Caenorhabditis elegans: one gene and its partners. The protein of the gene in region 2 purifies or fractionates together with the protein of the main gene of each other region. This does not show direct contact. Each region holds a gene or a part of one and is shown on either strand. Other genes may lie near its edges. The genes, in order: oac-56, gcy-11 and fbxa-150.

Region 1 (12,459 bases), on a different chromosome or scaffold from region 2:
TATGAGATTTTGGATTTTAAGGCACGAAAAAACACAATTCGATTTGCTGAACTGTTTTGTCTTTGAAATAAATCATATTTCCTTTGATTCAAAAAATGTAAAAAAGTATTTTATTTTCATTTCGGTTTGACCTGAAATGTGAATTTAAATTTTAATTTGATACGGTATAGTACGATACGAAGTTCTTGAGCCTGCCAGACATATTCGGCAGATATAAAAAAACAACCATCAGAAAATGATCGAAGTTTGGATCGCCGAGCTATTTTTTTTGCATGAATTGAAAATAGTCTTTGCTCGCTGTTTCACTAAGTTTATGAAACATGCTTGATAAATGTTAGTTCGATGCGTAAGCTAGCCGAATTGGATATGCAAACTTAATTGGAACAGTGTTTTTTTTCAAATATAAGAAAACTTAAACACAGTATTCCCCGACATGGCTGAAAAGAATTCTTCAGAGCGGCATATTGAGTCTCTACTTTTTCGTTGACTTTTACAGATTATATTTCTTTTGTTTGTCTGATAAAAAAAAATTTAAACTGACAAAATCTTTGTTAGTTCGCCTTCTATACATTTGCAGTTAATAATTTATTGATATCTTACAAATGAACCGAGATATAACCTTTTATATATTTTCACAAAGAGCCAAGCAGTTCAATTTAGAACTTCAAAAGTACAATATTGTTTTTCTACATTCAGAATTTTAAATGTGAAAGGAAAAACTACTGATTTCTTGAATATGTCAAACCTAAAAATTAAGTTTGAAAATTTGAAACCCATCGAAATTTGAACCTCCAAAATAGTTTACAACTGGAATTGGAAAAAAGTTATTTCTTGCTGTTTGACAATGTTTTCAAAAACATTTTGTTTTTGTTGACCTAATAATCCATATGATCTCAAACTGATTTTTGGTAATACAAACTGGTTTCAATTTTCTTATTTGCCAAATATTGCATTTGAATTTAAAATAAGTTTTCTCAAAAAATCACACTTATCAGACTTAAAAAAAAAACTCATTTGAGAAAAAACGTTTTGACTTTTTTTTCTAAAATGTGCTCTCAACGTTCTGAAAACTTTTTAATCTTTTCTATCATGAACATGAAACTGAAAATTTTTCACACAATACCTCTTTGAAAAAAATTGAACTCAAAAAATCTTCAACATTTTTTTTGTTATTTCTCAACACATAAATACATTTCTAGTAAGTTCTAAATTTTAAAATAAGTTTGAAACAGCATTTTTATTATGTTTTATTATATTTTTCTATCGAAGTCTGTTTCACTGTGTTGTCATATTGCAATAACATTTTAAAAATCGATTTACGGCTAACTTTTGTCATATTGTTAATAATATTGCTCATCAAGTCACATAAATGAGTCCAAAATTAAATTATTAATTATCTTTTCACTCTTTAGACAATTTGCAAGGTTATCAATAAATTAATTTATTTCAATAATAAAATCATCATACTCAGACAATTATCTTAAAAACTATCCATAATTTCCGTGACAATTTTCTTGAAGACAGGCTCACAGACTTTCACCCCAGGGCCTGTGAGATGTACGGAATTATCCACGTAAGCCAACATTGTGTCTTTATCGAATGTCAGGTACTTGTCATCTTCCAGGAACATGGGACTGAGATCGAAGAACTGGAATTGGAAATATTAAAGATAAATACGAAAAGTAACGTTTACATTAAAACTTTCAGAAATTTATGAAGGATATGAAATAGTGAAAATCTGAGTTAAAAACAAAACTTTTTCGAGTTGAAGTTTTTATAACTTTTCATAATTTTATTTCAAAATCTATGGAAAGTACACTGTTCAGAACTGAAAATTGACTTGTTTTTCCAAATTTGAAGACAACAACATATTTTTGACGCAATTACGTTCAAGTTCCCGTACAGTTTCCCATTGACTTCATGATTTTTTTGATTATAAAATCGGATTGTTAAACTAGGGACCAAAGCTTAAGCTTATAAGAATTAAATATTAATTATTTCAATTGAAACTGTTTTGTGAAGTTGTTTTATTCAGTGTTCGTTGCTAAAACTCAGTAAACTTGGAAACCAAAAAAGTTTTACTGAAAAGTTCAAATTTTAATTTTTTAAATCCAAGAATTACAAAATTAGATTTTTCTTAAATTTCATCACATCCTGTATACGCCAATAAAATTAAAATTTGAAACTTTTTATTTTCTGTTATAAATTATTCATATAATTAAAAAAAACAAACAATTAAAAACCCACGTGGCATTTCTTGCATTTTATCTGCCTGAATCTCTTCACCACCGGTCTCTTTTCGTCGTCCGCCAACTTTTTACTCAAATGCAGAGCATCCATGTCATCTGGCCTAGTTACAGCGTAGTGCAGGAATAAGTTCAAAAAGTTTTCATGAAACTCTGGGAATGCGTCCAGGATGTATAGTTTTTTCACGTATCTAAAATATTTTTTTTTCTGTTTTGAAACAGGATTTTTTATAACTAACTTTTCATAATGTGCAATTGTTTCATTAATTTGTTGCACAATCTTATCATCCTTTTGAACAGGATTTTTTATGTTATTCATATATCTGAAAAATTCCAGATCAATTAACTAAAATGAATGTTCGTTAAAATAAAACAATTATTGAGTGCAGGCTCATTGAGACATTGTTTCTAAAGTAAAATGACAAATTCCTTTTTTACTTGAAAAAAAAACTTGATGTTTCACAATGTTGATAAAAAAAACTTTCCAATACTAAAATATTTGTCATATATTTTATGTACAGAATTAAGCAAAAAAAAATAGCATTTCTTAATTTATATAATTTTTCACAATAAAATTTTGAAAGTTTATGTTACTAAATGAAATAAGTATTACCTTGCCACTATGAAAAGCACGTCGGGCTTGTGCAATTCCACTTGTTTCTTTGAAAATTCCAAAGCCTGCTGAGAAAGCAAACGGTGGTCCGAAAAAAGCCCGTAACTGGCTGAAAATGTTTCTCAATATAAGAATACCAGAATAAGATCTATAACTCACCAATAACTGACATATATCGATAATCTGAATAGTTGTAGTTAAAATGAGCTCGGATGTGCTCGCTGAAGTTAAGCACATAGCTATTTCCAATCATCATGACTGATAAATTGCCTTTTCCTGGCTTAAAATGAAATCCTAGATGTAACTTTTAAAAAATATTTTTTCAAAAAATTACTGTTTCCGAAATTCATCAAAAATCGAGAAACAGAAAGTAAAAAGTTTTCTGATTTCTCTTAACTTTTACTCACCGCAAATCTACAATAACCTTTGAGATCATTTTTCGGAAAAGGCACATCAATGTCATTTTCGATACACTTATCCTTTTTTGGCTCCAAATCCCAAAGCGAAGTATACAAAACCAGGTTTTTGTCGATAATTTCTCGAGTTTCCGGTGTGAAATTGTTCATCCAAAATGTGTCATTTCTGACACTATATTGAAAATATGCATTACTTGCGATTAGTAGGAAAATTAATGGAAAAACTCCTTTCATGTCCAATTTCAGGTATTGTTTCTCGAAAAGATGATGGAGAAGAATTGATGAAATGAATATGATCACTGAAAGTATAATTGAATAGAATAAATCTATTGAGTAATTGAAATCTTATATTATTTTTGGGAAAAGGGTACATGTTTGAGAATAAAATAGTCAGTTGAGAAGAGAGTTTAAATTTAAAAATAAATTAGTTTTTTCAAATGCGTGAAACTTAAACTTTCAGATGGAGAGCAATTCTGAAAAAAAATCAAAGTTTTTAACATTTGATTCGAGGATGACTATTCTAAAAACATTAACTATCTTTAAACAACCAACATGAAACAGTTAAATACTTCAAATGTCAAAAAAAAACCTTTAAAAAACTAAAACTAAAACTCTATTGCCAATTTTCAAGAAACCGATAATAAATGCCATTTAAATTTGATTACTACAAGTTTTTCAAATTAACATTATGAAACGGCGAAATTTTCTAAAAGTTGTATTATCGTGAAATCTTGTGAAATTTAAATTTTGGGCTTTAAACTTTAAGAAAATTTTTCTTTAAACAGTTTCCTCAGCTGGTTAAAAAATTTCTGAATCAAGTCCGAGTGTGACGTCACACTTTTCTAAAATTTCATTTTCACAACGAGACTGTAGTCTAGTATACTGACGAAAAATCGGAATTATTTAGGAATCATGGATCTTAACATAACTGAATACTTTTGAAAATATTCATTACTTCACAGTTTGTTGAAACGGTAGATTACATATTATTTTTTCAATAAATAAATCCCAACTCACTGATACAGAAAATATAACTTCTGGCGTTTGAAATCAAGAAAATTGAAATAACTGGCCAATGAACCAGGTACAATACATATGAAATATCCCCAATATACCCGAGTGTCGGGGATTTTAGAAACTGAAATTTCTGTTTTAAATTCAGTTAAATATTATGCTATAAACTTACCTGAAAATTTTTCGATTCACATGCAATTATCACAGCAGTTGCTACAGTAACCAGTGGTCTTAGAACTAAAACTTTAATCTCCATAGTTGATAGACAAAGTGCTAGCGCTGACAAGGATACAGTAACCAGGTCATTTTTAGTCAATGGACATGTGAAAGTGCTAGGCTTCTCAGTTTTACTAGGTGTTCCATTTTCTTGAATCTTGCTCCAAAAAAGAGCAGAAAATCCTACAGAAAACTGCCACAATCTGAGGAACATGAAGTTGAACGCGAATTTGTCCAAGATCAGGGCAAAACCAATGAAACCGAAAACTGAAATTATCAAGACAGTCGCTAGCTGAAACATTAAAAAATTTTAAAAAAATTAAAAATTTGTTAAAGACGAGTTACCTTCAGATAGTCATTTTTCAGAAATTGTAGTCCAAAAAATATAATTGGAACAAAAAGATAAAATTGCATTTCCAAGGAGAGGGACCATAGATGAAGGAACCCGTTTATTGAAGACGTGGCGGCAAAAAACTGGAAAATTGGATATTTTGACAATTTCCAGCGGGGTTTGCGGCAAAATAAAGTTTTGAACACTTTTTCTGACTAAACTTTTAGAAATTATTATTTTCAATATTAAAAAAAAAACCATTAAAATGGGTTCATTTTAAAAACAAACACCAGAAAATAGGCCAAATCAGAAAATAAATTTGCAAAATAATTTTGAAATTTTTAGAAAAAAAAATTACGGTTTCTATTCTGTCATTTAAAACCAATTACCAACAGAGAGCATTCAACGTATTGTATTCAACTTTTTTATAGAGAGTTTAACAATGATTTTATAATAATTTGTGGCATAATTTCAACTCGAGGAAAGTTGAAAAGTTTTCAAATGTTGTTTCAAATAAATTTGAAAGTTTGCTTAACATTTTTCTGAATCATTAATCAATTTAAATAGCTAAAAAAAAATTATCAGAGTTCCTGCCATTTATAGACAAATCTAATGTCCTTTTGCCAAAGACTAAATAATTGAATATCAAGTTAAAAAACTATTTCGATAAATTTTCATAATTGTATCTTTTTTAATATACTTTCAGTACAAAACTTGTTGAAAATAGAGAAGATGTGTAACTATTTTAGCCGCTTCTGACCATTGTGAATAAAATTTTAAACACTGTTTCAAGTTTGTAAGAAAAGTTGTTCGATATATTTAAAATCTATTAAGGAAATTATTAGAATGAAATCATTACATGAAAAGTTATACACGCTATACTTAAATGATTCATATTTTCACCATTTCCAAAACTTGAAAAATATTAGAATGTCGTTTAATTGGAGCTGTTTTTAAAACCATTATGAAAACTCTCATAACAAAATTTTAAGTTTTTTCCAAAATCCTTTTACCTTGAAAATTGTTTTAAATATTGGATTATCAAATTGCAGTAAATGGAAGGAATGGACACTTTTTGTAAAAAAAAATTGTGGTAGAATTGAACTCACAAGGGGTATAGTTTGCACAATTTTTGAAAATTCATTTTTTTGCGAAAGAATAATTTGGAAAAGTGAATATAACATATAAAGTGGGTAAAATACACGATAAACTTATAAAAAACTAAGTTGCTGTATAATTTTTTGCTACATTTAGCTTAAAAATTGTTTTAAATATTGGATAAAAAAGTTACTGTTCCACAGAAGTGATGAATATTAAAAGCAAAATGAATAAAGCATTCGGGTTGAATGCCCGAAAATTTTGAAATTTCATTTTTTAGGAAAGAATAATTTTAAAAGTGAATATAACAGAAAAAGTGAACAAAACTACACACTTCCCATAATAAATCTGAATTTTCTTCTCTTACCTCATTAAAATAATCTGCCTGATCATGAATAATCAGCTGATTCGTCACCATGAACAGCGATGCCAACGCATATCGATTATTATTCTTCCACAAAAAATCTCCAAGACACAACTGTGTCATTACAACAATCAGGAAAACCGCCAGAAAATACATTGGTAGAATCCTACGGAATCTATAAAAATTTGGATTTACATTAGTCACCACAAATGCTGTCAACTTAACCTCATATAGTAAAACAGCAGAAAATCATGAATTTTCACTAATTTTGCCTTTGTTAAATTTTTAGCCATCAGAAAACCAGATATCACAAAAAATCTAAAAAAGAAAAATAAATATTGATTTCAAAAATTAAAAATAGTTTCAGGGCTTACATATCAACACCGAGAAATCCATTAACAAATAGGTTAGGGTTCAAGTGAAATAGTAAAACAAAGATTATAGCAATACCACGAAGGCATTGGATGTCTTCTCGCATTGTGGTAAAATCTGGAATAAATTGAATTGAAATTTATGGTAAAGAGGAAAATTTGAAAAAAGTTATGTTTCACATAGTTGCTAAAATTGTTATATATTTTTAAGTTTTAATTCGGTAAATATTGTCATTTTTGGATCGGAAAAAGGAAAGATTCAGATTTGGGTTCTGCGCCTTTACACTTGTATTTTCTTGATTAAAAATAATTAAAATTAAAACAAAGAAATCGCTAATAACCTAGATGCAAAAAATTTGCGCCAAAAATATGGTACATGGTCTCGACATGGCAAAATTCTGTTAAATGCAAAATGTGCACGGCTCTCAATTTTTTTTTAATTGTAAACAAAACGTCTAAACCAACAAAACTCAAGAAATTCAATCAAAAAAGAACACAATTTCTAAGGAGGTCAGGATTGAAAAACACATCCTTAAAAGTTTCAAAGTAGTATAAAATCATCCAGAACTATAATTTTATAAAATATCTAGTTTTAAAATTATTTAAAAATGAAGGTAATTTCAAAATTATGAAGAGAGAACATTCTGAAAGGAAGTTTTTAAAATTTTCCTATTGAAAATAACTAGTCGTGAAAAAACCAAAAAAACAAACATATTTAATTGTTACAAAAATATCACGGATTGGTGAAACATTAAATTTTTTGAAAAAAGTTAAAGTCCAAATCAGGGCTGTGCGGCTGTCGGCTGACGCAGCCAGCCGACAGCCGACTGATAGTGAAAGGTCGGGTGGCTGCGCCAGCCGACCCCCAAATTAGAGTTTTCGGCTGGCGTTTTGAAAAAAAATTAACTGACATTTTGACATATTTTGACACTAGATGCAAGTTCTACAAGTGGAAAAAATAAGAAAATTTGGTTTTTTGATGAATAAAATGATGAAATATTTTGCTATAGTATGTTTTTGTACTAAAAGTATACTAAATAACTTCGAAACTTTTTTGCAATACTTAACCAAAAACACCAGCCGGCTGGCGGCGCCAGCCGACAGCCGAAAATTTTGGGATTTTCGGCTGGTAGCACCAGCCGACAGCCGACTGATAAATTGTTCTCAGCCGACAGCCGAAAATATCAGCCAGCCGCACAGCCCTGGTCCGAATGACGGAATTAGTCTTACTATTAACAAACCAATAACATGAAACTGTGAAAAAATGAAAAAAATGTTTCAAAATTAGCAAAACAAATTATAGAAAAGGTTGACAAAAGACCTTTTTTTTCGGTTTCTTTGCAAACATGTAAAAATGTTCATTACATTGCAATAAAAAGTAAAAAGTTATTCACTACATCCATAGGATTTAGATTAGGATCCAGTAAAAACCGGTTTTATATTCTTCACTGGTTACTTATATGATCAGTTAATTTCTGTGAAAATACAAAAAATACAGAAACATGGTGAAAATTTCCAGTTTTTATTCGTTAAAACAATTTTTCAGTGGTTTTAAAGAAAAAAACACGATTGTTAACAAAATCATATAGTTTTAAAATTTTTCTTTCATTTTTTTCAGCTTGAAAATTGAATAAATATTTTTCCAATAAAAATTTTATTTCACAACGAATGATCATCGAGAAAATTGTGTACGCAAATGAACGGTATTCTTCTTCTCGTGTGTGTGTAGTTTAGCCACTCTATTCAGGTCATAATACCGGATTTTTCCTGCTTCCTGTTTTATGGTTTTGCCAAATTGATCATATGAACTTTCTTTGTATTAGGAAAATACTTGATGCGCGGAAATCTTTCCAATCTTGATTATTTTTTCCCTCGGGAAAAATAAGTTATTCGAGTAATTGGAATGGTTTTTTTAAATTACAGATGCTGCTTCAACAAAAATTTTTTTAGACATTATCTACCAAGATTGTTATTCTTCATTCTTGCTGGAGTTTTTTAAAAAGTTTTCTAACTTAAAAAATAAGAATTATGGGCTACAAAAAATAAAAGAGAAAAAATAAATGTACATTTTAAATATTACAAATTTATCTATTTGATGTTTCATCTATGTTTTCAGTTTTTTATCTGAAAAATGGTTTTGTTTTAGTAGACCTTAGACCTTCATCGTTGTAAAAACGTAGTAAAAGCGTGTAAAATGTAGCTATTATCTGCGAGAAAAGAAAAAAAATTAATAAATTGTAGAGTTTCAGAAAAAAAAATCGTGTTTTTCCACACGGGATTTGTAAAATAAAACCTAAAATTTGAATAAAACTTCCTCAAGTTTTCAAACAATATTGACAATTTCAACATCCTTTTTTAACATTAATCTTCCAAGATTGTGTTGAAGATAGAAAATCAACATTAGTTTGAAAAAAATATTCAATGCCTAAACAATAAATTGAAATTTTTTTTTAGCAAAATATGATAATAACCAAACAGATTTATAAACGGTTATAAAATTTTTTTTCAAGATTTTTAACTTCGAAAATTTGTTTAATAGTTTCGCAAATACAAATTCAAAGAAATTAGTTAGAAAATATGTTGAACAATACATAATCTACGTGAAACAGATTTTTTTTGCTCGCGCAGTAATTTTATCGATATTATTTTAGAAAAATTCAAAAGTCAATAATAATACATGTAAGGCTGTATCGTTATCGACATATTCAACTTTTTCAGGTATTCATGAAGAATGTGAAACAGTCTGAAATTCTTAAATTTTTCAAATTAAACTTTCAGATCTTCCGGCTCCTCCTTGCAAAAATGTATACAAAGCGATGATTTTAATCTAAATACCGACAATAATTGGAGCATTTCCTTGTGATTTTTAAGTGGCTGAAATGATAAAAATATTTTCAGAATTAGTTTAAAACAATGAAACAAATGTTCAATTTTTAATTTTTTTTTGTGAAGTTTTCTGTTTCTGTTCAGATAGTATCATGATTACTGTTCAAGTTTGTTCCGCTTTTCTACAGATATGACTTAATATTTGATCTCTTGATTTTTTTCACTCGTTTTTTCACTCGGGAAAAAATAATTGATTCGAGTAACTGAAATAATTTTTTTAAATTACAGATACTGTTTCCTTTTTTAACATTAATCGTCCAAGATTGTTATTAGTCGTCTTACTAGGGACTCTTTTTTGGTCACAAGAGAGTTATGGGTTGAATGATATATTTTCTGAAAGCTAATGCAATGAAAATATCGAATTCAAAATAAACTATTGCCCAAATTGATGCTAAGACAATTTTTTTACTCCGAATGCGTATTTAAGTTAGTCTGGTAGATGTTGACTTTTTAAATTTTAAAAACATAAATTCCAGGCTACAAAAAATGCAAGAAAAAATAAAATAAGCAGTTTACAAATTACAAATTTATAACAACAACTTAATTTTTCATTTATGTTTTAAGTGTGGTTTCTGAAAAATAGTTTTGTTTCAGTATACCTTTATAGTTGCTAAAACTTTGTGTTTGAGAAGGCTGTAATTTTATATCAGCTAAAAAAAGAAAATTTTAATAAATGTCGTGCTTTTCTACAGGGAATGTTTAAAACAAAACCTAAATTTTGAATAAAATTTCCGCAAGTTTTGAAACAATATTTAAAATTAATTTTAAAATCAATTTCGGTGTTGATGATAAAAAAATCAATCTAATAATTTGAAAAAGTATTCAACGCTTAAATTATAAATGTGAAACAGTATTTAGTAAACTATAATGGACCTTCAAAGAAAAAAGATGTTTTCTGAATTTTTAACGTCATTTTATAGTTTTATGTTTTTCACATAATTTTCCATTTGACAATTACCAAAACATACCTAAAACGAGTCAAGCCGAAAACAGCTTACAAAACGCGTTAAAACATTTTGAAAATTTGTTTAACAGATAGTTTTGAAATAAAAAATCGAACATATTGGTTAGAAAAATTGTTGAACAAGGAATAATCCACGTGAAACAGTTTGTTTTTGTTAGCGCAGTGATTTAATTCGTATTCTTCTAGGAACCTTTGTATCAATACATTCAACTTTTTCAGATATTCATGAAGAATGCGAAACAGTCTGAAATTTTTTAATTTTTCAAATTGAACTTCCAGTTCTTCCGGCTCCTCCTTGCAAAAATTTATACAAAGTGATGATTTAAATCCAAATAGCGACAAAAATTGGACCATTTCCATGAGATTTTTGAGTTGTTGAAATGATGAAAATATTTTCAGAATCAGTTTAAAACTATGAAACAAATGTACAATTTTTAATTTTTTCAGAGTTGGGAAGTTTTCTGTTTCTGTTCAGATATTATGATTACTTTTCAAGTTTGTTTCATTTTTCTCAATTGTTCAATTTCAGTTCTATTGCATCTTCTCTTTATGTTTTAATAACAATAATATTTTAAAGTAAACTGAATGTATCAATGTTTCCAATCGCAAGTGTTTCTGATTTATTTTTTTTTAATTTCAAAAACGTGTGCATAATATTACAAAAGTTTTTTATTTGTGAAAATATAAAATTGTCTTTTGTTTTTTTAAAATTTCATTGTGAGGCTTACAAAAACTATTCGAAACATTTTTTTAAAATTTGTTTTTACTACTTTTTACTACTACATTGAGAACTCAATCTGTTAACTTATTGGATATCTATGAAAGAGCTGAAACGGTTAAATGATTTTTCACGTTTGACTCAAACTTCTAATTTGCTAAAACTTGTTAATTTCCAGTTTTATGTGCAAAAAACTTTTGAAACTGCTCAAAATATTTCCTGTTTCAAAAAATTGTTTTTAGCCTTACTGGAAATAATGAATATTCCGAAATAATGGATATAAAGGATTTCAGAACAACATTTTGAAACACTGAACTTTTTTTCGTTTCGGGATTTTTTAAATTACCGACAACCCCGCCACAATTTTTGTGAGTGAAAAAAAATAAAAAATAAAATATCGAAAAATTAAACTGAAAATTGTAAAATTATCATATGTTCTGCAAATTTTGAAAAAAAACGACAACTTGAAATTTTCCGAAAAGTTTTTTATTTCTGTCTTCTTGTTCTCACTAGTTCGATCTACACGAGCAATGAAATAAATTGTTTTGCATAAATTATGTAGGCATGCTGAAACAGTCTTTTTTTTAGAAACTCGAATAAAAATTATGTTCTACCAAACAACATTTAGATTCAAGTATATAATAATGATATTTGTATTTTAGTATAAAAACGAAGTTAATACTTTCATTGTTTTAGCAATCTGAAAAAAGTGGGTCTGAAAATATATCTAAAACTCGGAAAAAAATAATTGGTTTCAGTTTCATGTGAATTTCCATTTCTCTTTTCTGCAGGATTTTTTTTGAGTTGGAATTCAATTTTTCGTTTCTAGCGTTATATTATGTCTCCAAAATCCATAATAATAATGATAAATTTTAGAATTTTTCAAAAAATTCTGAAATAGTGATTTTTTTTTGAAAACGAGAGAAAATTTTCTGGTTTTAACGATCAACATCTGGATTCAAGTAGAAAAGAGTGTTCCACTCGAAAATTATTTGAATCCACACTAACACTAAAATTCTCTCTGCAGGGAGTGCCAAAGCACATTTCTCAATATTCAGGACGACACGAGAGACGGAGAGACGCAGAGGATAAAGTGCGCGAGATAAAATGAAATGATGTGGAGACGCAGTGGCTCACATCAACTTATTGAGCTCCTTCTCCCTCTGTCTCTCTCTCCCATTTTCCCGTGAGGCTTGTTTCTCCATCTACTACTTGCCGTGCT
Region 2 (9,723 bases):
TTAGAGCAAAAACTGTGTAGGTTACCTTTTTTCTTTTTTCTTTGAAACACAAAAAAAAAATTAATGAGTTGCCAGGTTCGTGAGAGGTAGAGAGAAAGAACTGGACTTTGAAAATTCAAATTATTTTCGAAAGAAACTTTTGTTTTGGAATATCTTAGAACGTGCTACTAGCAACATTTTATAGAAAAAACTATCCTGTTGACATTTTGAAAACTTTACCCAACTCTATGTAAGAAAATTTGCAAAAATGTTTAGGGTAATTAATTTTCCTAATATTTGACAGCATTTTTAACCTTCAATCACTTTTCCTTCTTTATATGTTCCTATGATTTTTTTAAAAGTATTTCAGTCAAAATATGTGAGTGGCCTTGAATCTAAAATTAAAAGCCACATCAGAAAATTCCTAGTTTGCAAGCCCACTTTTCAGACAATTTTCGATAATATTCAAGAATCGAAGTGATAGTTCGAAAAACCTATAAAGAAATTTATAAGCCATCCTTTTAAAAAATCCGCACGCCTACACCAAACGTTTTCTCACTCCTCCCCCAATTCCTCTCTTTCCCACCATCTCATCACAGCCACCGTTCGTTGGCAGCTCGCCAAGCCACGCCTCCACCTGATCAGAAAAAGTGGCTGCTGACTTTTAGTGTCTCTTTGCCTCCCCTCCTCCTCCCGCCTTTCTCTCCCTCCCCTCCTATATCGTGTGTCTGTTTGTTTCGAACTCGAGACCAGCTATCAGTCGACCACATAAAAGCGGTCCAAACTTACTATACTTTCTTCACCTCAACCTTTTGTGTATCACTGTTATTATTGTTATTATTTGTTACTTCTACCACCACCCAGTTTTACTAACCATGTGGCATTGTGCGGTTGTTGAATGCGCTGTGAACCATGTCCCAACATATTCGCCCCATTATGGAATTTCACGGGGATGCTCTCCATCATCCTCATCCGGCTCATGTTACAGTGTCGCTGCCAGCCCGCCTGCTCACAATGTGCTCAATATTGATAACAAGATCGAGCAAGCAATGGTAAGTGATGTCTTAATTGAAAAAAATCACAAAAGCTTTGCAAAAAATGTATTACACTTTGTCGGCTCATATCTCATAAAAACATAGGAATATTGTTATGTAGATAACAAATATTTAGCGAGTTTAGAAAATTGGGAGAAAAAAGACCGAAATAAAAAAGCTAATCTTACAAAAAAATCCTGTCGTTTTCGTACCGAAAAGTTGGCAATTCTGGAAAAGTTTAGCTAAAAAAAAAGTGAACCCCTTAAAATATTTAAAGAATATTTTCTAAAAATTTCTATCAAGATTTTCAGTTTTTAAAGCAGGTTACTAGGTTGAATATATTTCGATTAATTTAGTGTACCCCTAATTTCCAGGCGGTGGCTTCAAATTTTTTGCACCCCTACCACTTTCTCCGCTATCACACAGTACGTGATTTGCGTGCAGTATCCATTATTATTATTTCCGTGTACAAAATTAATTAGATTTATAGTCACATGGAGTTCAAGTTCAATTTATTGTTGTTCACTGATTTGAACCTGGTTTCAAGGTCTTGCCTTTTTAAAAACCACCGAGCTACACACTTCTTGCAAACGTTAACTTTACGTGCGCGAGATGATAAGAATTTCTGGTACTGGTACCTCGAATTAGTGGTAGCATCATTAGAAGTCACCGACGAACAATAAAGGCCAAAAACCAAATGAGTGTGTATTTATGGGGGGGAGACAGAAATAGAAGGCTTTCTTGTTCCAAATGTGATTATCACAAGTATTATATGAATTATATCAGATGACATAATGTTATAATTGTCTGTGTCTTTTAAGGACCTAGTCAAAACTCATCTGATGTTTGCCGTTCGCGAGGAAGTGGATGGCTTGAGAGGAAAAATTTTCGATCTGGAAAATCATGTTAGACGGTGAGCTTGAACCCTCATGGTCTTGTAAAATAATTTTAATGCTTTGCAGATTAGAAGCTGAAAATTCAATTTTAAAGCGAACAATTCCCAATGACACGCTAAAACAGCTACATCTAAAGTTATAATAATTTTAATTCCAATCAAATGTATGTACATTGGTCGCAGTAGGCACTTGGTCCCTCCAATTTCCGTTTTCACACTGGTGTATCCCCATCCAAAAACCCTTTCCTGTGTCTTTTCGTCCCTCGATTGATTCCTGATTTGATGCCATCACTTCGAAGATTTGTCTCTTCACTGGTCACTATTTGAATATATTACGATTTGTTTTGCAAAGTATATCAATATATGAACGTTTTGATTTTTAGTTTGGTTTTATACTGCTATTGATTTTGAAAAGTATTAAAAAATATTGGGGCTTTGCGCAGCGAACTTCCCGGCAAACAAGTGAGCTGAGGCCAACATCAGTTGAGGTTCGCAATTGACCAATCATATGTCGTCTGCGTTCATCAAGCGGAACGCTCATTTTCCAGATATATCATGACGTCATAACCAGTATGACGTGACTCACAAATTTGATCAATGTGATTTCATTTTTTGAAAGTCTATTATGTCTTAAAATATCCTGCACATTTTTTTAAACTTTGTAGTTTGAACGTCAAAATTTCAAAAGAAATGAAAATAGCGCAGCCGACGCCGATCGAGGTTCGCGTAAGACCACTCTCATTCCACATGCCAAGTGCCGTCTACGTTTATCAAGTGAGACGTACATGGTATGGAGTACTGTAGGGTTGATTTGGATTCATGGTCGGTGAACAACAAATGCTTATAAACAAATTATTTACTTTAATTTTAAAGATCAAGCTAGTTTTTAAGACATCATATTTTCAGTGATGTCACGTTTCTTCAGAAGTCTTCAGAAATGTTTTTTGTAAACAATGTTTTTAGTATTTATAGTTTCTACTTTAAAGTTCACGACTCAAATTACCAAAACGTGCACTTTCCAACTGTAACCTTATCAGAAAAAACCACTGGCAATTAAAAAACCGTGTACGTTTTCAGACTTATCAGCTGATAGTGAACTGTTTAGTGAACCCTCTCGCAGTAAAACATAGGCAGTAAAATTTTATAACTCCTAAAAACTCCCCAATCACGTTCTTTTCCTTTTTCTTCTTCGCCATCTTCTTTATTTTTGAATTCTCTCCAGTCTTCGATCTATCGGTCTTCTTTTATTTTCCGCCTGATATAAATAAAGGGTCACTCGTTTTACACTTTTTGACCGCACCTCGTAAAATAAATCATCTCTTACTATTGGGAGAAGAAAAAGCTTCATCAGAGAACCTACAAATTCAAATCAAGTTCTTTTTTCAAATACATTGGATTTTTGATAGAAAAAATGTTTCAAGATGCTTTTATTGAGGTGACGATTGAAAGAAAAATTGGAAAAAAAGACAGAAGAAGAGAAAAAGAAACATTTCCATCACATCACAACAGTTGCTTTTTCTCTCTGAAAATGTGATATTTGCTGACGTTGGTAAAAACTCATGACTCAGGGGGTACCGGAAATTGTGGATAGATAGAGTTTGATGAAGAATTGAATATAATTAAAACAAAAGTAGATCAAAATCAAATTTCCGGGAATTTTTGCAACAGGAAATTGCGGGATTACCACAGTATGCCAGCCCACACCTTCCCCCTTCAAAACCTTCACTTCATTCCACATTCCATGCTTGGCTATGCCATGCCGTGAAATCTTCCTATTATGGATATTGGTTCCAATAGCTTCGTCATCCGATCACATCACTTTTTTCGGCAGATATGCGTGCAATGTTGACTTCAAAACGGATTACTGCACCCCTGACACATACGTTGGACGCGCGTTCTACTATGGTACGGGACACAACAATAAAGTGCATTTGTGATTATAAAAAGTGGAATTCAGGTTTGGAAGATGGCGGCGGAATAACAACAAATGGTACTTTTGTCAACTCTGATATTACGGTCGAGTTTTTTGATCCAACAGTACAGGGGAACTTTTCAATTGGCCGGCAAGACGGGAATTATATGTCGTGAGTTTCCAGAACATATGTTTTTTGCGAATATTCGGATGGCTGGGCCTTTTTTCCAACATTTGTTTATAATGGTAGTGACATAGGGAATATTACCTATACATGCAAAAAATTCTCTAAAAAATTAAAGATTGGTTTCCGTTTTACTTTTTTTTAACCAACCTTGTTTTGAAACAACCAACTTTTATTTCTCTTTAAATTTTGAATCTTTAAATCTTTTTCTCCTAAATTTTTTTTAGCATAAGTGTAGCCACTTGTATGAATGTTAGAGCCACTTTGCACTTCCACAGTAATCCAGAAATTTTTGTTTATACAACTGTACCAAAGAAACGAGGTAAAAGGATATAAAGTTTAGATTTGTGCGAGTAAGTTATCTTTTGCTTTTTTGTGACTTTTCGAAAAAAATTTGGCAGAAAATGAAGAACATTTTTCAATGGCTTGTTACTCGTATTTAGCAAAAGTGTCAGAAAATTGGAATAGTATAAATATAGTACACATACTGTAGCGCAGTCAGGACACTGACTAATAAACTCCAGTTCAAAAATGTGTAAGGGAGACGATCATCGCGACCCCAGATGTGTCGGCTGCGCAGTTGGTACAAAGTTTTGCTACCTAATGCCTCAACGCTAAAACGGCCACAAAAATAGCAAAAAAAAATGGTTCTCAATTTGCAACTTTCCTAGGTCTCTAAATCTTTTTGCACCGTTCTGTGGTAAAGTTTGTTCTCATTTCTTCTTTCAATTGAAAATCATATCAATATAATAAAAATCAACATCCGGCTGGATTTCATTCCTACCGTACTCCACTCTTGTCTCCACTCACACCCACCGCCTCGCAATCTTTCTTTTCCCGCGCGCGCGCAAAAGTTTTCCGTGGTGACAGTTCCCTTCTCTTTCATTGCAGCTAGTGGCCCACCCGTGTTTTGCAATGTTTTGATCTCTAAAAGTCTAATAACGTCATCTCGTTGTACAATATAGAATGGAAATGAAGAAGAAAAAGGGAAGAAGAAGAACACGGCACGTCTCTTTTGAAGAAGAAGAAGAAGAAACAGACAGCCACTTATTATCCCCTCCAAGATATTTGCAAAGACTTTTTGAAATTTATGATAAGGGTTGGAAACAGAAATCAAAAAATGAGTGCAGCCACGTATTCAAGCTTTGGTCAATTTATGGGTCAGGAAGAAAGAACGTATCAACGAAAAATGTTATGTTGTATGTACCTAAAAATATACCTCAAGTTGACGTTAATCGAATTTGAAAAGAGATGGAACTTGATCAAGATCAACAATTTTTGAAATTCAATTCGACGTTTTATAAAATGAAATGATAAAAAAAAATCACATAAGGATGATCTTCAAAAAAACCACCAAGTGTTTTTTTTGCAGAAGCATGCTGGACATTATGCTTGCCGATACAAAAAAGAATGATGGGTTGTTGGGCGTAGTCGGAGTGGAGAATGATTGTAAAGAAATTGCGGCTCTCGCACAAGCCTACGATGCTTCAAGTTTGCTTGTGGTATTTGATACTTGAAATAAAATTAAATAAAAAACAACAACAAAACATTCAGAATTGTGAAGATCAAGTTGGAGAATCGCAAATGCCGTCATCAACTGCACTTCAAATGTCGTCGACTCAAGGGTAAGTTTGGAGCAGAATCAAAAATTAGGCGTCAGATCGTAGACTGTAGTTTAACTGAGCTGTTATTTCGAACCCAGACTATTTTGCCCTGTATGAAAAAGAAAAGAAAATCATAATTTTTATATAGTGTGTAGCTTCGAAAGTTTTCGAAATTCTGGAAACACTCCAATTTTTAAGGAATGCATTCCAGTTTCTATAATCCACGTTTAATTACCTTTGAAACCGAAATTAACGTTATTAAAACCGAAATTAAATTAATTTATTGAAAATTGTAATTTCCTTTTATTACGACTTTCATCTCAATTATTTTGAGATAGTTGTTTGCCGTGCTCAAATAATTACCAGAACGTCCCGAAATATTTTTAGTTACTGAAAATTTACAGCCAAAAAGTTTCTATTTTGAAAGTGGTCCAAATATCAAGTTGTTTTTTTTCCAAGTACAAGCAGCATTGCAACATTAATTTTTTATAGAAGTCATATATCATTACTTTTAAAGAAATCCTCTTTTTCGAAAATGTTACAGAGTTGATTTGTATAATAATTGAGTTTCAGAGGAAAATACAGAGCTTTTGCCAAGCTTGCGAAGTCAGTTGGCTGGAATAACCTGGCAGTGATAAACTTCGTGGAAGATGGTCCTGCAGATATATCCTATCATGATCAACTTCTGGATGCGTTGTCTGCTGAAAGCATCTCGGTAAAATATTGATCTGATTTTGTGTGCTTTTAAATTTTTTCGAAGTGCATAATAATAGAAAACGGTGCAAATTCGATACAATAGTCTAAAGATCGATTTCTAATTTTGATCCACAGTTTTAAATTTGAAGTCTGAAAAATTTTTTAAATTATTTTGTAACACATGTTTCACCATTAAAAAAAACTCTAATTTCAGTTAGACTTTGTCAAAAAAGGTGGTTTTTCGTCAACCATCACCAGTGCGATGTTTACCGGATTGGAATCTGTAATCGATGTCATTCTGGAGACGTACATGAAAACACGGAGTAAGACGTGACATGTACTAACGTTCTACTTTTTCATATCTTTTAGTTTATGTAATTGTGTTGGACTTACCAGTATCGGGGACCTTTTTCATGAATGCAATGTCTACAATGGGATTGTTGGAGACCGGAAAGTATTTTGTAGTTATGATGTCATCAATTGAATCGGACGCGGCAAACTATTTTGGCTTTAACGTCAATCGAGGTTCAGTTTCAACATTTCAGAGTTTCTGCTGAGTTTTGAATATCTTTCAATTTGACTTCAGCGTTAAATTTAAAAAAAGGAAGCCAAAATGCTTGTGTGAACTTGCTCCCAGGGGGCAAAAAATTAGGGGACACCCTCACAACTCTCAAAAGATGCATTGTAAAAGTCTAACAGGGGACAATTTTTTAAATGTGTACTGAATAAGAATATGACTTCTGAAGGAACTACTCAGCCCCGTAAATCTCAGCCCCGTAAATCTCCTTCTCAGCCCCGTAAATCTCCTTCAAGTCCAATCAATGGTGACATGAATCTTTCTGACCAACGTCAGCAAGATTGGAGATGGCAAAATTGAATAGATGCCAACTATGCTGGTTGGTAGTTGGAACATTAGCATAGTTGGTACATACAATTTCTACGTCACAGCATCTTGACAGATTTTCCCCACAGCTGGACACACAAATTTTTCTGCATCAGATTTCATCAGCTCCAAAACTGTTGTACAGGTCACCTGTCAGAGAACACTCTCTCGCAGAGGCAGTTATGTTGTCTGTATATCTCTACAGGCTCACCTCTCTCTACAGACTCACAGGCACTCTGTGAAAAAACTGTCAAGATGTTGTGACGTAGAAATTGTATGTACCAACTATGCTGATGTACCAAGTTGGTACTACCAACTACCAACCAGCATAGTTGGTACCTCTTCAATCTTTATGACGTGGTCGGAATGAGGTTCATGAGGCTGAAACCATTGTAGTTCTACTAGAAGTCGTATTCTTATTCAGTACACATTTAAAAATTTTTGTGCTCTCTGAGATTTTGAAATGCTTATTTGTGATTTTCGAGAATTCCCCCTAAGAGCGAATAATTTTACCCCCCATGGTAACCTTTGCGAAACCCCTAGCGTACTTTTAAATTTACTTTGCCTCATGCCGTTACATCAACCTTTTACCATGTTTTCATTGAAGTCCAGTACTGTATATTCACAGTACCGTAACGAATCCCCTTTTCACACTCTCAATGCAGTTTTGTTTGTTGTAAAGAAAAATCGACGGGACGCTTAAAGGCTCAATACTTCCGAAATTTTATTACCTCTCCTATTCGCTATGCCTCATAACACTTTTGATTAAGGTAACATGATTTTCAAGACAATCGACTACGGTATATCCGATGCCGACATTCGTCAGTATTACCGATCATTTATGTACTTCACAGACGTTCCACATTATACCAAAGGCTAGTGATATCATATTGCCTTTTGAATTAATTGTTTGGCTTTTAGACTTCAGTGACGAATGGACTTCATTCCAAAAACGAGTGGACGGAGACGCGTCAAAGACCTTCTGCCCTCCGATGTGCAATACAAAAGCAAAGGGAATCGCCAACAATGATCCGGTGGGTGCTGAGTCAGCACTACTGACCGGAAATTAAAGGGATTTTAAAAAAAGAAGAAGCAATCACATGGAGCCAGAGTCGGAAATTAATGTTTATTTATATATTTCAGTGGTCGGATGACGCGTATTGGTATTCCGAGAGCCCATCAATAGTTGATGCATATGACTTGGGAAGGTTACTTTCGGAAACTGTAAAAGTTCACGGAGCATCACTACTGAGAGATCCGGAATCATTAGTCCAGACAATGTCGGGAAGAGGAGTTACATGTGATTACGTTTCTATTATAGTTAAAGAGATTACTTTGAATTCGGAAAATTTTCATAAAAAGTGGCAGTTTTAGAGCTTTCGCACAAATTTTCGAAACGTTTCTTCAAAAAAAAGAAACAAACATAAAACAAATATACAAAAAACATTTCGTCATACGCTCTATGAATTCTTAAATTATACAGCCACTCAGTCTCATTCGTTCTCGAAGAATTTGTCAATTTCTAAAAAATTTAGATTGCAGTGCACCATCTGGGTGCTTTGTCCACAATACATATTTCTCAGCTATAGACCCCTTACATACCTTAACTTTCAAATATAATTATTCAGCCCTACTTGGATATGTTACAAAGTTCAACACCAATGGAGTTTCCCAACGAGAGTACATTCTATGGGCTCCACAACAAGCTTCCAGCTCAAATGGACCCATCCCTTTGCCTGAATGGGCAACTCTGGCTGCCAGAATGCTTCCGGATGGAAAAGGAAATTATGTAACTTTAAATGAATAGTTTATACTCAGCAAAAAAAAATTAAATTTAAGTCGATAATTTGGAAGAATCTAACACAACTTGGAATCTTCAATGGCGAGCTTCCCCAGTCGAAGCCCGAATGTGGATTCAACAATGAGCTGTGCCCCGCGGGAATTCGTAAGTTTCGTTGAATGCATGCCGTAGTTAGAGTAGACTAGCTGACTAGCAGCTGATCGGCACCGTAACGAAATCCATTGTTGAACAGGTAACCTGTCAGAACTCGAGATCATCGTCATTGCGGTTTGTGTGGTTGCAATTCTGATACTAGTCGGCGTGATTGCATATATTGCAAGGTTCGTGTTTTTAAAAATATATGTTGGAAAGTAGTAAAAATGTTCGGTAATGTGTATGGTTTTTAGCCGAATATGGTTGCTTTTCTCAGCGGAGTCCGAGCCAAGTTCCTTTTTTGATTTTTCGAAAAATCTGTATTTGAAAAAGAGGGTTGTTCTCAAGTTATACACGTTTCTAGATTGATTGTCAGAAATGAACCTGCAAGATGTCAGTCGCTCTAATTTTTTCTAAGTTGTATTTGCTACATCTATGCCATAAACTACTATGATCACACATAATATGTCAGTGAGCTTTCCAATTTCAGATGGATTGCTTATGAACGGCGACTCGAGTCGTCGTACTTTTTGGTACACCGAAAACATGTTCAACTGGTTGACATGACGAAATTCGGATCTAGCAGAGGAGGAAGCATGATTC
Region 3 (9,134 bases), on a different chromosome or scaffold from region 2:
ACGTGGTGTCCGAGTGTTCCATTTCGGTTTGATCTATTTAGATCTACAAAAATTGCAGGAATTGGGACGCAGAGTTCTCAACTTTCACATGGTGCTTACGTCACATTTTTTTGGGAAAAAATTGCCGCATTTTTTGTAGATCAAATCGTAGTGGGACATCCAGGCATGACATATGTATTCCGGTTAATTTCAGGGTTTGATGATGCCGTTTTTCAATTAGCTCATTTCACTCTTTCCCTCTGAAGCTAGATCCCCAAATAATACCATGGTAACCAAAACGATGATAATATTGGCAACACAAGAATATTGCGCACCTCTGAGTATGTTATACTATGTCCGTAATATCTGCGTCTGGCCAGGGAAACCTATTAATTTGGCCAACATTTTGAAGACTCAGAGACCCATCAGTGCATCGTTGGGCAGCAAAGCAAAGAGCTAATCTGCTGAGTTTGCTTAATGTAGTCATAGAGAATAAGATTTGTTCCTCATAAGATTTTCATTAATTTAAACAAAAATTTGGGAAGCAACCCCCCTTAGCTTTAGGAAAGAAAGACTACTTGAAAAAACTTTTTAATACAATTTGAATCACATTTATTATCAATTAACAGATAAAAAATGAAAAATGAGATCACACATCTTAAAAGGATAAAAAACAAAACATTTAAAATCAAGATCGAAGTGATAAGCCTTGGAACATAATGCGTTTTCCATTTTCTTGAATACTACCATTATACGAATCAATTAGAGTTTCTGAAATCAAGAAAATTACACAGTTGTTAAAATTACCAAGTTGGATTAACTCATGAAATTGATTTAAAAAAGAAGTTATCAAAACGAAAAATCCCTTACCTTCACTCCTAAAACTGCTTTTAAAATCAAAACCTTGAAATAACAGATAAAAATTGATAGCATACACGAAAATCATCAAAACTGCACCGATGTTAACTGACATTTTCCAAATCTCCAACACTTGGCTTCGTTTTAATATATATTCACCACCCTGAGCACTAATAGGACACGCCTACTTTTTCCAATTTCCTTTTCCTAGGTTTGGGGTTACGAAATATATGTAAGTACACTTTATTTTATGTTTGTAGTGAATTCCTAAACAAGTGAGTCACCTGGAAAGAGCCTTATCGGTGATAAGGAAATTGTGATGTGATTTTAATGTCTGGAGTTTTGTCTTGATAAGAAATGATTATTGTTAAGGTGATCAGGAAACACGAATATGATTCATAATTAATAAATATAAATCGCGGAAAAACAGAGTCGTTTTAGAGTTACATAGCAAATAGAGTGTTTACTAATTCTTGAAATTTCTGAATTTGATGGTTTTCTGTGGACCAATACTTTATTTTAAACCTTATCAATGAGCATTTTAGGTATGTTGTGTTTTTTGCCGTTCTTTTTTTTCAAATAAATGCCAGAGAAGCCTGACAGCATAAATCAGCAAAATTAATTAACAAAATTAATTGGAATGCAACGCCAAAAACATTCTCATTTCATTTCAACTTCCCTTTGCTAATTTCACTTGTCGAATGTGTAGCAAAACTCCAATATTATCTGATAAAGACACATATCATGCAAATGCTCTTCACATCCTTACCTCGTTCGAGGTTCCTATTCATATCTTCGGTGCTTATATTATCATAGCAAAGACTCCAAACAATATGAAAAATGTAAGAACGAATATGCTGGTTCTTCACTTGGCGGGTGCCTTATTAGACATTTATATGAGTTGCCTAGAAATTCCAGTATTCCTTTTACCTGCCTGCGCCGTATATCCACTTGGAGTACTAACGATGCTTGGGGTTTCAACTGTTTTTCAAGCCTACGTAGGGGTTTCCCTTATTGGAGGTATGGTTTATTCTGGTTGTGTAAACAGAAAACCATTTTTTAAAAATTAAAATTCAGTGATTGGAATGGCGATTCTTATGTTCTTCGAGGAGCGATATCACAAGTTAATCAGAAATCCAGGTGTAGATAGAAAACGTGGCTGGAAGTACGTTGTATACATTGCTATTCACTATATTATTTCAATAACGTTCATTCTACCTTGCTTTTTAAATATTCCCGATCAAAATCTTGGAAAACTAATGATTATGGAGGTTAGTTTAGTCCTCTAGCATTGAAATCTTTGGACCCAATTAAACAATTAGGTATTGAGTTTCAGACAAATCCCTGCATTCCAGAAGAAAAAATAAATCATCCCGATTTTTTTCTATTAATCACTGAATCTGGTCCGCTCTACTTGAGCCTCGGAATCGCGGCTCTTGTTATTCTCCCACAGGGCGCATTTTTCATCTTAAGTATATTTTGGTATCTTTTCACGCTGAAATCAAAATCGCGAGCCACAACTCGTCTGCAAAAACAGTTGTTCTTCGCAATGTGCTTACAAGTAGCCATTCCAATTTCCGCTATTTGTATTCCAGCCGGTTATTGCGTTGTAGTTGTTGTCGTCGGTTATTACAATCAAGGTAAGCCTCGTAAAGTTTGCAGAGTAATGAAGCCTTTTAGAAGCCAATAATCTTGCTGTATTTACAATGGCACTTCATGGAGGTCTATCAACGTTTGTTATGCTGACCGTGCACGCACCTTATCGAAATGCGACTTTGGAAGTATTTGGAATTAGTTTCAAACGAGTCGTACAGAAACCTAATCAAGTTTGGAACAAATCAGTCAATGAAACAGGAGTAGTACCGTAGTACACAAGTACCCTAGTACCCCAGTACCCCAGTACCCCAGTACCCCAGTACAATAGTCCCCTAGTATCCCATTACCCTAGTACCCTAGTACTCTACATAGTACCCTAGTACCCAAGTACCCTAGTACCCTAGTACCCGTTACGCACATCTTGTGCCTGGTGTCCGACAAGCAGTTAAAAACTATTCTGTGATATAAAATAATTCATTGATAACAATTTGTGCTTATAATTAAAATTTACTAAAATTTCGTTCGAAACGTTTCCCAAATATGATCCCGGCTGCAAATTGATCCAGTCACATCAAATATGCTGATTGAGACAACGAGAATATTGTTGGAGTCCTCTACATCGAAGAACTGCACGTGATAAGTGTAGGCTGGGTAGCTGAAGTAGAAATATTTATATTTAGTTTCAATGGGAAACTATCGAAAATGTTCCTCTAAAACTCACCTCAATTGTAATGCGGCAATTGTAGGAGGCTGATGCTTTGGCTGAACATCGAATTGGCGCAAAACTTGCAAGTGATCAATGATTACAGCAACCTCAATGTTGAAAAACGAGCCAATGGGTAGGTTGGGTCTCGAGCGGAAGTTCTAAAAATTTGATGTGATGACTATGTATGTAGATTGAGAATAAAGTTGGTACAGCACCGAGCGACCCACGATTTAATCTTTATTGTTGTAAAAGAAGTATTAGGCAAGGGTTCAAATTAACTATGGGCTACGGCCTACTTGTTCGGACAAGTGCCTAAATGCGGATCTCTACGTGGACCTGGTAAGGTTTGGACAGCTACCTTCTTGTCTCACCTTGATCACTTTCCAAGCATCTTCCGGTACCAGCTGATGCACTGTGAGCATGTATTTCTCCACGTGGCTCAGCATGGCATAGTCCACTACGACAGTTTGATCTACCCCAGGCGTGTACCCCCTCGGATTCTTCTTGGCGTGAAGATCCAAGGATTTAGCTCTCTTGAAATGATCGGTAATTTTCAGTTTGTCAAAAACCTTCCCACTCAGCGATTTCATTGTGATTTTTTCTAGGTATTCCATTTCGAAGCGGCTTAGGAGCTTTTGAATCCATTTCGACGTAGATTCATTGCAGTCTATTGCGATTTCTCGAGCTTTGATAATAATTTCGGATTTTTCAAGTTCTGAAATCAAAAGTGGCATAATTGAACGATGAGTCGATCGGAATGGGAATTCGAACACAACTCGTTTTGCATTTGAGTTTTTGTTACGGAAAATTCGACAGAAAGTCTCAACTGCCCCGACTCCAACGGCCATCCTAGTTTCTTGATTGAAATTTTTAAGTTTTTTGTTAGGAATATTGTCAATGTCCAGGAAGATATAATATTTCTTATTGGTTGGGTCGGATCCTGAATGAATGTTTTTTTCTCCAAAAATTGTAGAAGGACACGAACCTTCAAGAAAATTGATACTGTTCAAGTTTTCTGGAATTTTGTCAGCCAAAATCATTTCTGTGCGTGAACATTGACGGATGATGCTTCTGGAAATTATTGGTGTTTTTTGGTTTGCACGTTTTTTTGAGAGAGCTCATTCTAAAATTATAGTCTGAAATACAGAAAACATTTTTGAAAATACTTTTTCACTGAAACAAGAGAAACTCTAGTTTTTTTTTTGAAAGAAAATGTTTCGACGGGAACTTCAAATTTTCTAAAAAATGTTTGGCGGGATATTCTATTTTTCAACCAAAAGTTTTCAGATACATAGAAAAAATAAAAATTTTCAAAGGGCTTTCAGAATTTTGTCTAACCTAGACAGTTTCCAAATCAACAAAAATTTGCAAAAACTCCGCTCGACTTTTTTTCAGGACCAAAATGCTCCACCGCAGCTGATTTTTTTTGTTGAGAGTTTATTTTAAAGGTTTTCTTTAAACTTCATTATTAGAACAGTCAGAAAATTTTTTCGTACCTATCTTCAAAATCCAGCTGTTTCAGTACTTCTCTCATAATATCCTCAGGCAATTTTTGCCATTGACTGAATTTTCTGTTTTTGAGATTTTTCTTTTTGCTCATTTTGTCGCATTTTGTGTGCAAAGGTAAATCCGGTTTGTTCTTCATAGCCAATTCTTGAGAATCTGAAATAAAAAGAAAAATATTGAGAAATATTGCAAAATTTGCATTAAAACGAAAGCGATGATTCAATTCAAAAAAACACGTCAATTTTTCAGCAAAAAAAAATGAAAAAAGTCAAAACCATAAAATATTTGTCACATTCGAGGCAGGCAAGGAAAACGAGAGGGTTAGAGAAATAGACAAAAAAGAAAACATATTGCGAAATAATGCAAATGTGAAAAATAATGGTTCTGTATCGTTTTTTTTTTCTTGGCAAGAATTATTGGATTTTATTTTGTACAGCAATTTATTAGAAAATGAGAAATTTCGAAAAATGGCCTGAACTGCCGGAGGACATGAAGTTGGAAGTAATGAAATATTTGACTTTTGGAGAGAGGTTAGTTTAATTTTAAGCATTGGAAAATTAAAATAACTTTCGGAAGAAATTCGATTGCGGTGAGAATTCAAAACTAAAAAACTTAGAATTAAAGTACGTATTTTTAGAAAATTCTGAAAAGTGCTTAAAAAATCTTTCTTGAAAAATTTTGGTTTTTTACCGATTTACTAGAATCATGAGGTAGTTTCAAAAAATTATAACTGGTTCATTTTATATTTTCTGAAAATTGAAAATTCTTCCTGCCACAATTTTCAAAAATGTTTCAATTAAAGTTTTGCACCAAATTTTTTTAGACTCTGAAAATTTAAAACATCACACTAATAGTACGTTTTTTTTTTGAAAAAGTAAAACATTGGGGTTCAATAAATAAGTGAGAAAGGGAGAAAAGTGTGAAAACTTTTAGGCGGTTGGCGATACAAAGAGTGACTGTTGCCACACAGGGCTCACTCGTAACAATACGGGAAAAGGTGAGATGATACATGAGCAGGTGGACTATGGGTAAATGGTAGGACACAACTAGATCAATATGTCAAACCTGTCAAAAATAACTAGTTTATTTTCTGAAAACAATTGTATTACCTGCCAAAATTTTATCACAAAATTTCAATTTTGCACTAAAAAAATTCTAGCAAAAAAATTTCTCACTATCAGAAATTCGGAGTTTCCCAAAATTTGAGTTTCTAAGGTTTTTTGTCCAAAAAAATTTTTTTGACGTCGTAGACTACAAACTACAAAGTTAACAGTTATAATTTACATGCATAGATGCAAAATTCGACAATGCGCAAAAATGGAAATGAGATTAGCAGACAAAATTCCAAATTCGTTTGACTACGTGGAGCTTAAAAAAAGTAGGTTTTATTCTAAAATTTGTGTATTTCTATTTTTCTCCAGAATTGGAAGTCTGCCTACAAATCAATACTATCCCTATAGAAAGTCTCACATTTCACGGAACACGGGCGGTTCACGAACTTTGTCGAATTTTCGAAAATCCAAGCACAACTGCCAAAAAAGTGATTATTTATATGCCTGAAACTCCCGAACAAGTGTTTTCAACTTTAATCTCGGAATTTGAAACTCGAGAAGTAAAAATTAAGGGGAAAGAGATAATGTTTCGAAAAAATGCTGAAAATTCCAGTTGGGCTGCGCAAATTTTGGCACTTTTCAAGGAAGGTTATCTGGAGAAAATCTACGTGGATTGTGTAACCGGTGCCATTTTTGAGAAATTAGTTGAACTGGAGCAATTCAAAATGTGCAAGTACATAAAATTGGAAGCAAGGGTTCTGTCGGAGCAACAACTATTAAAATTCGATTCATCTTTCAAAGTTAACTATGATTTCCTGCAACATGCCGAACGGTTAGAGTTGTCGCTTTGTGATTTGGAGCCCGAGGATGCTTGGGAAATTATAAAGGTTAAAACAGGAGACCACTCAAACCACTCAATAAAATTCTTGAATATTTTCAGAATTTCCGCTCGAGACCACAACTTCCTATTAACTCGTTTTTCAAAATTTTCGTGGATAATTATGTAAAGAGTGGGAAAATTGTTCGCTTGTTTGATGTTCAGCCAAAAAACGAGGAAGAGATTGCAGAAATTACTTGGTGAGGTTTAAACCTTTTTCTTAATTTTTTTCACTTTTTTCGAGATAACTTTCAATTAGCGAAGCTTAAAAGTTATTTTGAGTGTTAAATAAATCTCACTAACCCAATTTTTTGTCAGCTTTGAACACGTTCAACTCTTCGACATGGAAGATCGGAACAAACTTCTGGTGGTTGGTATGTGGCGCCGTGTTCTATATGGATCCATCTGCCGTCGTGATTGTATTTTGAAGGATTTTGACCGTAACCGTTAATTGTACTTCTTTACTAACAACACGTTTTCAAAGTCCTTGCTCAATGTCGGCTGCTGATTTATAGAAATATCCCCATTTCACTCGAGATCAAATTTCATATTTACAAACTATAAACTGACACAAAAAGTTTTTTCTTGTATCAACTTAATTAAACATAGAATATTCGTACATCTATTTTTAAACTGACGACTTTATTGATGAATTTGAGGTGATTCTATGTGAGGTAGACATAGGATCAACAAACACTTGAAACTAATAGCAACCAATAAAAAAGAACAGCTAATTACTGACTCAACAAAATCATCACATAAAAAACTTCAAATCTCGAATGAATTGTGCAACGCCAATCTGAGCTCTTCGATGGTTTTCGGAGTTTTGATGACTTTTCCGCTGATATGCCACGGGGTCAGTCGAACGATCATAATGTGTTCCAGATTGTGTTTGTTGCCTTTCATAAATGGAATGTGAAGAAAAACCTTGTTCGTGTTAGTTTGGACGGTGTCGGTTTTATTCATAAATGGGCTTAAGTCCATTTTTTCAAGAACGTTGATGTTGAACGTGGATGTTAGGAGAGGGGTTTCGTGACGACGAAGCTGAAATTTTCATGGTTTTCTTCATCTTCTTACATTCAGATATACTAATTATATGTTAGGCTAATTTTTTATATCCGTCAATTTTGTGGTTTGTGACCTGTGACATAGCACTAAACGGAAAATGGGCAAATTCTCAGAAGCTCACTACTTTAGTGGATGGACCCTGTCAAGACTCCCGTTTCAACGAGACAGGAGAAAAGTTAGAGTCCCTGGCTATTTTGGCAGTACCCTTATTACTGACTAAACAGTAATTTCTAAAATTCCTAACATTGATTTTTTCCAATACTTACATTAATAATGCACTCAATGAGTTGATAGTCCGCACAATCCAACTGAACTTGTATATTGTCCTGAACGAGCAGTTGCCGAGCAGTTTTTCTTAGACTGTGCACATATACGTTGAGAGCATTCGTGAATTTCCGTTTGTATGTGTTCAAGATCAGTGGAGGGCCTTCATTCGCCTTCTTATATTCGATTTTGAAGAAATCGGACATTTCTCTCAGTTTCAGCTTATCGAAGCAGAAGCTGCGAGTAGTAACAAACAGAAGAATAAAGAAGCTATAAACGCAGACAAGGTACAAATGAGAGGAGGGCTTGACGGTGGCGCCGTGGGCAACAGGAGCCAAAAGGTGCAAGGGTATGTGTGGGAAGTCTCCCCGGAGATTACTGACGTCGGGGCTAGAAATGTGCATGTATGTGAAATCAGAGAGTTGCTGAATTTACACACAAATCATCACGTACCCCTGAATTATGTTCAACTTTGTCTACACAACAAATAGAGATAGTTCGATTCGCCGCTTACAGTAACACACCTGCTCATCTAACCTCCCAAGAAAAGGGAGTTTACACGGTGTTCCAATTTTAATGTATTTCATTAAATTTTCTTCTCTTTCTGCGATTCATGTATATGATAATTTGGAGGAATGTTATTTTTAATTTTTAAACTAAATTTTTTAAAACTAAATTGGTTTTAATTTAACTGTTCCCTGTACTTGATTTTTACAATTCAAAGTAAAAACTTGCAAACCCGAAAAATTATGAGAACCACTAATTGTATGATTTGAAATTATGAACAGTCGTCTCATGTGGTATCAGAGTGTCCCCTTTCGGTTTGATCTGCGTCGATCTACAAAAAATGCGGGAGTTGAGACGCAGAGTTCTCAACTGATTTCTCATTGGTAAGAACTTGCTGACGTCATTTTTATGGGCTACAAATTTGCGCATTTTTGTAGATCAAACCGAAACGACCCCGCGTGCAGTCTGTCTAGTTGGCTCGGCTATTCATAGACCATACGGCTGGTGACCTCTTCTCTTCCCACGGGGAGGCAAACGGTACGTCCGAGAAAGTGCGCTCTACTGCTCAATGAGCATACCACTGGTGAGAGGGTATCAACAAAAAATTCATTGGTGTCATTAAATAGAGAATTTTCTGTAGAACATTTTTCATATGCATCACTTCCAAAAAATTTGAGCCGTTTTCGAGATAAATCCATTCTAAAAATGCGACTACTGTAGA

What was found.
Region 1: the proteins of gcy-11 (region 2) and oac-56 fractionate together in Caenorhabditis elegans (co-fractionation; one large-scale study listed by BioGRID). This does not show direct contact.
Region 3: the proteins of gcy-11 (region 2) and fbxa-150 fractionate together in Caenorhabditis elegans (co-fractionation; one large-scale study listed by BioGRID). This does not show direct contact.

The regions. Positions count from the first base shown.
Region 1 is NC_003282.8:14,343,955-14,356,413, forward strand, and holds oac-56 (Acyltransferase), read right to left. Parts: upstream 6,798-12,459; 5' UTR 6,777-6,797; coding exon 6,673-6,776; intron 6,617-6,672; coding exon 6,524-6,616; intron 6,495-6,523; exon of another isoform or gene 6,474-6,494; coding exon 6,302-6,473; intron 5,806-6,301; exon of another isoform or gene 5,785-5,805; intron 5,688-5,784; exon of another isoform or gene 5,667-5,687; intron 5,564-5,666; exon of another isoform or gene 5,543-5,563; intron 5,409-5,542; exon of another isoform or gene 5,388-5,408; intron 5,260-5,387; exon of another isoform or gene 5,239-5,259; intron 4,980-5,238; coding exon 4,851-4,979; intron 4,798-4,850; coding exon 4,462-4,797; intron 4,414-4,461; coding exon 4,293-4,413; intron 4,255-4,292; exon of another isoform or gene 4,234-4,254; intron 4,204-4,233; exon of another isoform or gene 4,183-4,203; intron 3,791-4,182; exon of another isoform or gene 3,770-3,790; intron 3,575-3,769; coding exon 3,267-3,574; intron 3,260-3,266; exon of another isoform or gene 3,238-3,259; intron 3,140-3,237; coding exon 3,019-3,139; intron 2,969-3,018; coding exon 2,860-2,968; intron 2,767-2,859; exon of another isoform or gene 2,746-2,766; and 13 more.
Region 2 is NC_003284.9:17,049,491-17,059,213, reverse strand, and holds the start of gcy-11 (Receptor-type guanylate cyclase gcy-11), read left to right. Parts: upstream 1-3,632; 5' UTR 3,633-3,659; coding exon 3,660-3,813; intron 3,814-3,865; coding exon 3,866-3,992; intron 3,993-5,376; coding exon 5,377-5,506; intron 5,507-5,558; coding exon 5,559-5,629; intron 5,630-6,181; coding exon 6,182-6,323; intron 6,324-6,518; coding exon 6,519-6,627; intron 6,628-6,673; coding exon 6,674-6,829; intron 6,830-7,957; coding exon 7,958-8,062; intron 8,063-8,108; coding exon 8,109-8,221; intron 8,222-8,330; coding exon 8,331-8,487; intron 8,488-8,815; coding exon 8,816-8,976; intron 8,977-9,026; coding exon 9,027-9,132; intron 9,133-9,220; coding exon 9,221-9,308; intron 9,309-9,610; coding exon 9,611-9,723. Other genes in the region: C30G4.4 (TSC22 domain family protein 1-like), read left to right, coding at 1-16, 968-1,031, 1,835-1,926, 1,976-2,051.
Region 3 is NC_003283.11:20,518,271-20,527,404, reverse strand, and holds fbxa-150 (F-box domain-containing protein), read right to left. Parts: upstream 4,808-9,134; 5' UTR 4,785-4,807; coding exon 4,636-4,784; intron 4,211-4,635; coding exon 4,125-4,210; intron 4,080-4,124; coding exon 3,511-4,079; intron 3,298-3,510; coding exon 3,155-3,297; intron 3,089-3,154; coding exon 2,944-3,088; 3' UTR 2,893-2,943; downstream 1-2,892. Other genes in the region: Y38H6C.24 (Transposase), read right to left, coding at 668-750, 850-952; srh-166 (Serpentine Receptor, class H), read left to right, coding at 1,539-1,857, 1,915-2,108, 2,174-2,477, 2,518-2,705; Y38H6C.9 (DUF38 domain-containing protein), read left to right, coding at 5,135-5,175, 5,938-6,023, 6,067-6,584, 6,638-6,774, 6,893-7,025; Y38H6C.25 (FTH domain-containing protein), read right to left, coding at 7,343-7,618, 7,909-8,112.